Saccharomyces cerevisiae S288C: one gene and its partner. The gene in region 1 interacts genetically with each later gene. Each region holds a gene or a part of one and is shown on either strand. Other genes may lie near its edges.

Evidence for each region.
Region 2: of FOX2 (region 1) and PXA2, changing one enhances a phenotype caused by changing the other (phenotypic enhancement), as found in Saccharomyces cerevisiae (one study listed by BioGRID).

Annotation. Positions count from the first base shown.
Region 1 is NC_001143.9:453,654-459,093, forward strand, and holds FOX2 (bifunctional hydroxyacyl-CoA dehydrogenase/enoyl-CoA hydratase FOX2), read right to left. Parts: upstream 3,402-5,440; coding exon 699-3,401; downstream 1-698. Other genes in the region: RSC4 (Rsc4p), read left to right, coding at 1-425; TOF2 (Tof2p), read right to left, coding at 5,271-5,440. UniProt on the Saccharomyces cerevisiae protein: Second trifunctional enzyme acting on the beta-oxidation pathway for fatty acids, possessing hydratase-dehydrogenase-epimerase activities. Converts trans-2-enoyl-CoA via D-3-hydroxyacyl-CoA to 3-ketoacyl-CoA.
Region 2 is NC_001143.9:85,621-90,841, forward strand, and holds PXA2 (ATP-binding cassette long-chain fatty acid transporter PXA2), read right to left. Parts: upstream 3,167-5,221; coding exon 605-3,166; downstream 1-604. Other genes in the region: HYM1 (Hym1p), read left to right, coding at 1-283; FAT3 (Fat3p), read right to left, coding at 3,664-5,221.

The DNA of each region.
Region 1 (5,440 bases):
TTTTCAATGGTAATGAATTGAGTCAAAATGAAAACGCTTTCTCCTTCATGTTACAACCCATGCAAACTTTTTTAACATTACAGTCTCATTTGACCTCATCATTAAAGGATACAGAGACTTTATTAACCATTAATAAAGAGCCAGTGAAGTCTAGAACTTCAAATGTAAACAGTAACCTTTCCCAACCTCAGCAACAAGAAAATGATGTTATTGGAAACGATACGAAGCAAGATATAGAAAATTTGACAATCGGCGGCGGCAACAATAACGATATTGTTGGTAACGATAATGATAAACGTAATAATATAACCGAAATCTTTGATATTCGCTTATCAGAAGGTTTAAATCATTTGATGTTTAGGTGTGAGGACAAAATATCTCATGAAACGGAATTCATGAATTTCTGGATAAATGTCTTACCATGATGACTATCTCTCTCTTCATAGTCTTCCCATCATATGCATGTATCTATATACAACCTATATACACTTTGTAATATTATCCATCCTCTTCCTCTATATAGATTAAAACTGTTAATATTACACATGACAAAAAAGTTGCGTCCGTAAAGAAAAAGTACTTAAAATGGGTAGGTTAGTTATGTAGGGAAAGATGTATGTAAGGATATGGCTTAACAAAGCTGTTAAATGAAAAGAATATAATCGCTATTTTTTATATTATTCAAATCTTTTTTTGTATTATAGTTTAGATTTTGCCTGCGATAGTTTTACAGCGGCGTTATCCAATACAATGACGTTTCTGGTCGTATCAATTGTTTGAAAAACGACAACCGAGCCTTGCTTCCAAGCTTTAACCTTTAGAGTATCACCTGGGAAAACAACATTGGTAAATCTCACTTTCAACTCCTCATATGGACCATAATGTTCAAACAATGCTTTCGCACTAATACCTAATGTACAAAGCCCATGCAGAATTGGCGTAGGAAATTTAACTGCTTTGGCTAGCGTGGGATCGATATGTAAAGGATTGAAATCGCCAGATAACCTGTACAATGCGGCTTGATCTTTATTCGTAGAAATCTCCGCCTCAAAATCTGGTACCTTTCCATGTGGCACTTCAAAATTTTGGACAGCAAACTTGGCTCTTTTCCCATCCCTCACTTCCTTTTCTGGAGGTACATGTGCGCCCCTGATGAAGAACGATCCTTCGTTATAAGCTATGAGTTTCTTAGTTTTAATGTCATAAGTTTCGAAGCCACCAACAACTAAAGCGGCTTTACCATTCTTGTCAAGTACTTGTAAAGGTTTAGCAAGTGTCTTTAGAGTTCCATTACTTGGCATTGTCGGCGTGCAGAGCTTAAAATATTGTTCTCCATGCAGTAACATTGCATAATTGAAGTTATCGACTAAATTGTCCATAGCTAGTGTGGCAGTAGCTTGCATAAATGGAATGACGGCGAACGTGGGCAAAACTTGGAAGTCTGGATCATTCTCGTAGGTGTACTTAAGCTCTTTGCTTGTGCATCCAAGTCCTAAATTGTACAAGATACAATCCTTGGTAGTGTACTTGAATAATCCATCATCCAACTCCTTTGAAGAGTGCGCTTTTTGCACGGCTTGCAAGGTTGCCATAGAAGACTCCTCTGTGGAGCTCGGGTTGATAGTGTTGCGACTGAAATCAGTGATGTGGTTCCAATTTTCTTTAATTTCTTCCGGTTCAATAGTCTCTTTAATAGAAACATAACCGGAACTTCTTTGCCATCTGGTTTGCCCACACCAACCACCGCCAACTTCGAATAATTGGCCAATAACCCTTCTTCCAGAATACTTTTGTAGTTCTTCAGATGCCAACAAAACAACAAGTGGGGAGACTTGAGATGCATCAAAGTGGTTTGATAATTCCTTCTCCGAGAATATAGTCTTTGTCATAGCCGTTTCTGCATGAGGAGCGATAACATTAACAATAATTCCTCTCTTGGCACCTTCCAGTGCAATAGTTTTACTGAATCCTAAAATGGCGGCTTTTGCAGCGGCATAATTGGCCTGTCCAAAATTACCATAAATTCCTGAGGTAGAAGTAGTATTGATAATAAATCCAGACTTTTGTTTGGTAAATATTGGCCATACTGCTTTTGACAATGAAAATGTGGAAAAAAGGTGGACTTTCAGGACAGCAAACCATTCCTCATCTTTCATTTTTAAAAAAGATTTGTCACGCAAAATACCAGCGTTATTGACCAAGATGTCTACTCTCTGAAACTTACTTATTGCAGTTTGGATAATGAGAGGAGCTTCGGTGACCACATCATGGGAATCTGGAATGGCTGTGCCTTCACCATATAGTTTATTTATTTCTTCAACAACTGAAAAAGGATCCTTGATGTCATTTACAACTACCTTCGCACCGTACCGTGCAAACCAGATTGCATGAGACTTCCCAAGACCACCTCCTGCACCCGTAACTACTACGACTTTGTTGCAAAGCGACTTGATTTTCACTGAGCCTTGTTCATTGGGAGGTAATTTTTTTGCTTTGGTGATTAAATCATTATAATCCGAGAGTTGATATGGATGCTGAGTTTTGTTAAATGGCTTGTCCCTATAGTCTGTGATTTCCTTCCACTTATTTAAAATTGCTTCAGGAGTATATGTCTTGGGGTCTGGATTGAAAATTTGTCCAGAAGACCTCTCCCATCTGAGCTGTCCAAAGAATCCAGCAGCGAGTTCAAAAATGGAGTTTGACACTTTCGTACTTTCGTGTGTCAAATAGAGTACTAAGGGAACAATTTTTTCCGGTCCTAACTGTTTCAAGATATGTGGTGGTAACACGTTTTCTGTCATACGTGATCTAGCCAATGGCGCAATTGAATTAACATTAATGTTGTATTTGGCACCCTCCTTCGCGAGGGTTTCCGCCAAACCAACTAAGCCCATTTTAGCTGCTGAATAATTAGCTTGACCAAAATTTCCAAATAGACCGGCAGGGGAAGCGGTGTTAATGATTCTACCAAATTTCTGAGAGCGCATATAAGGCCAAGCAGCACGCGATAGCTTATAGCCACCTGTCAAATGAACATCTACCACAGATGCAAACTCACGTTCTGTCATCTTTGCAAATGAAACATCCCTTAATATTCCAGCGTTGTTAATTAGTACATCAACCCTGCCGAATTCTTTTATAGCCGTTTCAATTATTTTCTCTCCATTTTCATTAACAGAGTCGTAATTTGCCACAGCTATACCTCCGGCTTTTTTTATCTCATCCACCACTAAGTCTGCAGCTTTGGAGTTATGTCCTGAACCACCCAAAGTGCCACCTAGATCATTGACGACCACTTTTGCACCTCTGCTTGCGTAAGCTAGTGCATACACCTTACCTAAGCCCCCTCCAGCGCCCGTGATTACAACAACTCTATCTTTGAAGGATAAATTTCCAGGCATGGCTTACTCAAATAAGAAATAAATCGAATGTTTGTTTAGCTTCGTATATGTGTACCTTGCTTAATAAATTAGCTGATAAGTCCTTCTACCTTTCAACACTGGGAGTAAAGCAGCCAGAAACGACTTCTTATATAATTTCTTTACTTGTCTTCCTTGTTTTTTTACCCCATCCTCCTTTGCTTTCTTGCTGATGTTGATCCCCGTTGGAGTAAAAATTGGCAAATAACCGCCGAGAGTTCTAGTACGGATACGGCGTTAACAAATTTCCCCGTCGATCACTTTCGGACTTAAAACTAGGCTTCCGGAACCACACAAGATTAAGAAATTAAGGCTTACAACAAGACTTGAGAGAAGTGATCGAATATTAGGATACTCTTTTTGTTTATGTAAACAATTACCGTAACAGACTCGGGAGAATCAGAAGGGAAGCTGCCTCTAGATATCAAAATGAACGAAGTAAAAATATCGAAGCATAAACAAAACGATAAAAACTTTAGAAACTATTGATTCTCTTCCAGCCTTGCCTTAGCTCAAGTTCCTGAATATTCTTGTTTTTTATCGCTACGTACTCAATTTTTAATGCACCATAACTACTCAACATAACGGGTTAGTGAAATCTACTGTGCTGCTAGAATAGTATCACGTACAGTAGTTTAATTGATAGCGTAAATTGAAAAATCAGCTAAATAAATTGTCATCAATTTTACAATAGCAGAAATGTAGCGATTAATAATTCAATAGGAAATGAAAGGGACTTTAAATTCAGAAATAGGTGAATTTATGATGATTGTTGGGATTTCTTACTAGTAATTTGAATAGTAGTCACATGATCGTTGATTATTATTCCAATACAAATTTTGTGTAAAGTCACTCTTTCCCCTTCTGAATGGTGCATTCGTGAAAGAATTTTCGATATTGTTGTATTGTAAACTAGGAATCAAAGGTATCGTTCTATAATGAGAGAAGTATTAAAGGCACGCACTGATCGATTGTATCAGATATGACTATAGCTTTAGTGTTTAGAGTCATCTCTTCATACATATAAATGTTGCAATAAAAATCAACTAATATCTATGTTGTCATATTGAGAAATGGGTGAATGTTGAGATAATTGTTGGGATTCCATTGTTGATAAAGGCTATAATATTAGGTATACAGAATATACTAGAAGTTCTCCTCTCCGGTCTAGGAATCCCCAAAATGGAATCTATATTTCTACATACTAATATTACGATTATTCCTCATTCCGTTTTATATGTTTCATTATCCTATTACATTATCAATCCTTGCACTTCAGCTTCCTCTAACTTCGATGACAGCTTCTCATAACTTATGTCATCATCTTAACACCGTATATGATAATATATTGATAATATAACTATTAGTTGATAGACGATAGTGGATTTTTATTCCAACACATATAAAGTTTAGAAAGATGACATAAAGATTAACTTAATACATGACTGGGTATACTTGAATTCTAAAATTTTCAACAAATAAGTGGTTGTTTGGCCGAGCGGTCTAAGGCGCCTGATTCAAGAAATATCTTGACCGCAGTTAACTGTGGGAATACTCAGGTATCGTAAGATGCAAGAGTTCGAATCTCTTAGCAACCATATTTTATATTTTTTTATATTGTGTTCAACAATGAACAATAATGACGAATAATCCAGAATGATATAAACGTCCATGAATAAAAGTCCGTTATAATCATATATAATTGATGCATACCGTACGCTATTAGTTCTCTTTTGTTGGTTGCTTTTGAAGATTTAATTATGATATCATTAACCAGTCTAAAAAATTACTACAATTCGCCAAGAATATTTAAGATATGGTTGAGAGATCCCAACATAATTACTGACAGACTTACTGGTCGTCTTCATCACTTTCAACATATTTAGGTGTTTGGTACTTCTTTGTATTTATTTCATTGTCATCCACATCCAGCATTGGTTTTCCATTAGAATTTCCAGCTGGTCCATGACTTGTTTTGAAATTAATTTTTTTAACTTGCACGTTCCTCGAATCAGAATCAT
Region 2 (5,221 bases), 370 kb from region 1:
AAGGAAGTCAAAACCTGTTTTTGACATTCTTGTTAAAAACAGAGATAAACTATTGACGTATTTTAAAACTTTCGGTTTAGATTCTCAGGATTCTACTTTTCTTGATGAAAGAGAATTCATCGTTCAAGAAATTGATTCCTTGCCGCGTATAATTTCGTCCACAACAGAAGTTTCTAATAATAATGCATCCTCAAGTAACGTCGCCAGTATAACTTCTCCATCATCAGTAATGAACAATCAATCATCCATCTTAACACATTCAACTTCACCTGATTCAAGATAACTATAAAACTTGGTTCACTTTATAAAAAATGGAAAGTTCTCAGGCAGTGGGTCGTGACATGAATATTCAAAAGTAAAATTATATATAGGAAAGTGTTTATTTGCATAAAAAGGGAAAAATAGTTCAGACTTTTGTATTTTTACGTATTTATACAAAAAAAGGTTGGTACCGGAGGCTGAGGAAGCCAGTACAGTTGGATCCGGTACATGGAATTGAGCAATCAACCGTAAATATGAGCGCTTTCTCAAGATATTAAATTATTATAAAACAATTTATTTATCCAATTTATACATGATTTGGATCCTCCTTTGGCTATGTATGTTACCTCTCCTTTCCTTCTTCCTTTTTTGTTTTAACTTTTTTGTTCAAGCTTTTATTGTTTCTTAGTAAATTTGATGATGCTGAACTAGATGGTTGGGAAAATAGTGGTAATCTCTTACTAGTCTCCTGCCCTGTAGGTGATGTGATTCGCTGCCCTTTATTTGCATTAAACAATGCATTAGATTTGGACGTTTTTGGATCTTCGATCTTTTCAAAAAGATTCAGGTTAGTTTCTGATTTACGAATGATGTTGGATTCTTTAGCAATTGTCAGATCTTTCAACTTCCGCTCCCAAAGTGGCACCTGTTGATCCAAGATGGCATTTAGTTCAAGAAGTTTTTCTTCATTACATAACCTTTCCTTCGGGTTAAACGGTCCAAATTGGTATCCGCCTTTACCATCAAATTTTAACAGATAGTTATGAAAATGCCATAAACTTGTCCTGTGGCAAACTGATATTAACGAGATACCAAAATTTTGCGCATTTTCGTACATCCTTTGTTCCATTTCTGGGGCTACTGCAGATGTACATTCGTCGAGCACAGCAAACTTGGGTTTATGATAGTACATCCTTGCCATAGCTAACCTTTGTTGGACACCAATTGTTAATTCTTCGGACCAATTTCTTACTATACTGAATGCATCACGAACTTTAATGGCGCATGGTGACTGATTGTCTTCCGTCGACAACTGCTGTGAATCATTTTTGGAAGTCCTTTGCGCCAGCAGAAGTGACATATTTTCAGTGACTAAATCCTCCAAATCTAATAATTGCAGAATTTTTATTAAATCTGCATCGCCTAGATCATAATCATTGTGATATCTTTCTTTGAATTGTTCAATACTGTCTGGATAAATAATCTGTTCCCTGAATGTCGACCTATTGCCCATATACGGCCTTTGGGGTAAATAAAATATTGCGCAATCTCTATCCACAGTTCTACGCGGCATTATTAACTTGGATTGATGATTTTTATTGGGAGTCGCCCTTATCGGCCAAAGCCCGCCTAGAATACGAAATAATGAAGATTTACCGCAACCGTTGGGCCCAATAATTAGTAGATGATTTCCATGCTTCAGATCAAAACTTAGCTCCGGTACTAGAACTTGATTGGCAGGTGTTATTAAAGGAATATTTTCAAACTTTATCCTTGAATCATCATATTCCACTATACACCTTTCATCTCTTGGTTCTTTTTCGTCATCACCTTTATTAGCATCCAACAAATCATTGAACTTGTTCAATCTCAATCTGATACCGCGTAATTGTTGTATATTTCTCTTCAGTTCCACAAATCTTCCGATAGAGCTAGATGCAGTGACTAATAATCTTCTATTTGTGATGAAATCAGCCGTCATATCATTCCCGGGTTCCTTAAGCTGTAAGGTGTCTTCACTAGGTTTGTTTTTGAAAAATATTGGAATCGAGCATAGTACCAAGCCAGCTGCGCCCCAAGTATATTTAATGACAAATGCAGTAGCAACATCATAAATAGCTCTTGCCTTTATTTCTCTGTTTAAAAATAGCACCAAACGGTAAAATGAATAATCAACGTTTTCTAGTTCCCTCTTTTGCCCTCTTAGCAGTGCAATTTCTTCATTGCTTGAATGTAGATTCGAGTGTAAAGATCTGAACCAACTTTCCAAAGATGCGCTTGCCATAGTTAACCTAGTGAAATTCGGTTGAATCAATTTTAGTAATGAATTGGAGGCGTAGACAATTAAGCCCAGTGCCAAAGTTCCTTCACCCATAACACTAGTGTTTGAGGTTAATAATTTGAATGAACAGAGGATCAAATCCAGCATTGGCTTTAATAGCTGATTCAGTAATAATGACGAGTTCATTGAAAATGTGTAAATATCTTTTGTCAAATTATCCTGAATTTCTGAAACAGATTCAGCAGAAGCTACGGAATAGAAAGTATGGTGATTAGATAGATACTTTGAGAGTAGAAAGTCTGAAACTTTCCTATTAATAGTGACAGCACAAAGTTTTGTCGTGTAACTGATCAGTGAATTAATAAAACTGGCGGGAATTCCAAGGATCATCCATTTCCCCAACAATATCTTTGTGAAGTTTGCGTATTGAGCTCTTACTAGTGTGGACACTAATTGACCATCTAAAGTAGCCACACGAAGAGACAGCAATGTTCTGATGTTCAGAAGAATAGCCTGTGTAATAAATAAAATGAGGCACTTCTTATCATGAAGCAAAAGTTTGAACAAAAAATCTACCTTTCCTTTTCGCTCTCCCCCCTTATGATTAGTCTTGCTTTCTTTATCAATTATTATTGCACCATCTTCTGAATCTGTGCTATGTTTGGAGACTATCGTTAACTCTTCTTTGCTACTTTCATCTTCCTCTCTATCTACTGCGGTTTCTTTTCCCTCTTCAATTTTCTTATTTTCTAAAACCGTTGACTCAGAATCCTTCTTATCAGTTTTGTTGTTACTAGAACTGGAATTTGAATTGTAAAGCGTGGCTAGCAACAATATTATGTATGAAGAACGCAGTAAATTTACTCTATGCTTCTGATAAAATGCAGAAGCTGTTGAGATCATTATAAAATCTTTCTTCGGTAACTTTTAATTGTATTATTATCCCTTTTGAGTCTTTTCCATATTCAAGACGAACAAAATACAGATAACAATGTTGAAGACGTTTGTTTTGTACCGGATTGAGGACAAGATGATACTTAAATATAATATTATCTTTGATCGAGCAAAGCCATCAATATCATCATCTAACATTCACTTTACTCCACATTTCATTGCCGCCCTTAATCTTTCGGAGGGTGGTAAAAACTTTACGGTGATAGTTGTAATTAACGCCGAAGGAATATACATCAAAGACGAAAGAACATTAATTGCATATATTCCAAAAATATGAATAATTACCAAATTATTATTAATTTTTGTTTTGAAATTTAAATAAAGCTATTAAATAAGGATGATGGTGTGGTATGTACTATAATTCAATATAAGAGATTAAGATAACGCTGTAAATGGTTTGGTACAATTGAAAAAAAGTGATAGAGCATTTACGAAAAAGAAAAAAATTATGCTACCAAATGTGCATTATTGTTAACAGGTCCATTTGAATCTTTTGGTGTCACGTCGGGGTGACTTAGCTCTGTTCTATTACTCGTACTACCTGTGACATCTGTATTATTGGCAGAACTACTGTTGTCGATAGCGGTTATTTCATTACGATTCACCTGTTTTTCGAAATCAGCATCATCATCATCACCCAAGTTATGGTCGCCGAAACGGTCTGCAGAAATGGCAGAACCATCCCCATACGTGTAAATTTCGCCTTTCCTATTCGTCACAGATCCGGACATGTAACGACCACTCCGTCTGTTCCTCCACCACGTATAAATTATCAATCCTGTGGCGATAAAAGACAACGCAAATGCTGTCCATATCAGCCCTGTATAGGCGGGACCGGCTTTAAACACAACACCATATTTATCATCTGCCGTACCGCTCTTTATAATGGCAATCATAACGGATATGATAATGGCTGCCAATACAGTGGCTACACCAACGCAAACGTGTAGAGCTAGGGCAATGAGCCATAATGGTTGTTTGAACATATATCTGTTAAAGTACAGTAATATAATAAAAATCATGGTAAAGAAGGAAAAGATGATCGCTAAGAGGTTCAAAGCCAAAACAGACCTCACTGCTGGCACATATTGGTGCTCTCTGTGTAAAAGTTTCCCTTCTAGGTAAAGATCGTTGGCGCTAATATTCAGGGCGTTCAGATATGGTTGGAAGTCTGATGTGACTAATGCGTCATAAATAATCGATCTAAAATCCAAGTTTTGTACAGCATGTGGGGAGTTACAATCTAGGATCTTGTTTTCCAGGTTAGCATGGCATAGCGTGAAAATGGATAAGCGATAGTAAATCGGAATTTTCAGATACTCTAGTATATTCGGCGTCATGGCGTTCAATTCTTCTGCGGAAATCGGTTGGACGGATTTGGCATCCGCTAATATATCTAAAATGGGCAAGAAGGTCTGAGGGTTTTCTTGAGCCCAGGAAGTCAGCGTCACTAAAGATGAAAATGTTGTTTTAGGATCAGTGGATGCCCCTAAAAGACTGAAGAGATATGGAATGTACTGTACGGAGCTTGAATTACCGGATAGGCCCGATTGTAATTCGGACAAGATGGACAAAGTTTCGTTGGTGTTACTCGAGGAGCTTATCACATCATCTAATCCAATTAGCTGTTGAGTAGATTGAGTTGTATTTGTCACCGCAGCTAGAGATTGGACCGAAGTGACAACCATTGTCGAGTTGTCCGAATTTTCCATCAATTGGGTTAAGGCAGCAAACGCCTTTTTTGCAGATGATGACTGAGTGAGGTTTTGTTCCAGCAAATCAGATAGAGTGCTCAATGTCTGATTTGTAGAGGTGGTCTGGTTTAGCAGCAATTCCACTGCATCAAATGCGGGGGCGCTTGCCTGCGGCACTAGTGGTTGCAAAGTACTAAACGTGTTATTTAGGGAACCTCCGTTTGAAATTGTGTTTTGTAACTGAGTTAATAGTGTTTGGGCTAAAGAAGATGAAATAGTAGTGTTCATCAAGGTCGCCAGAGCCGTCATT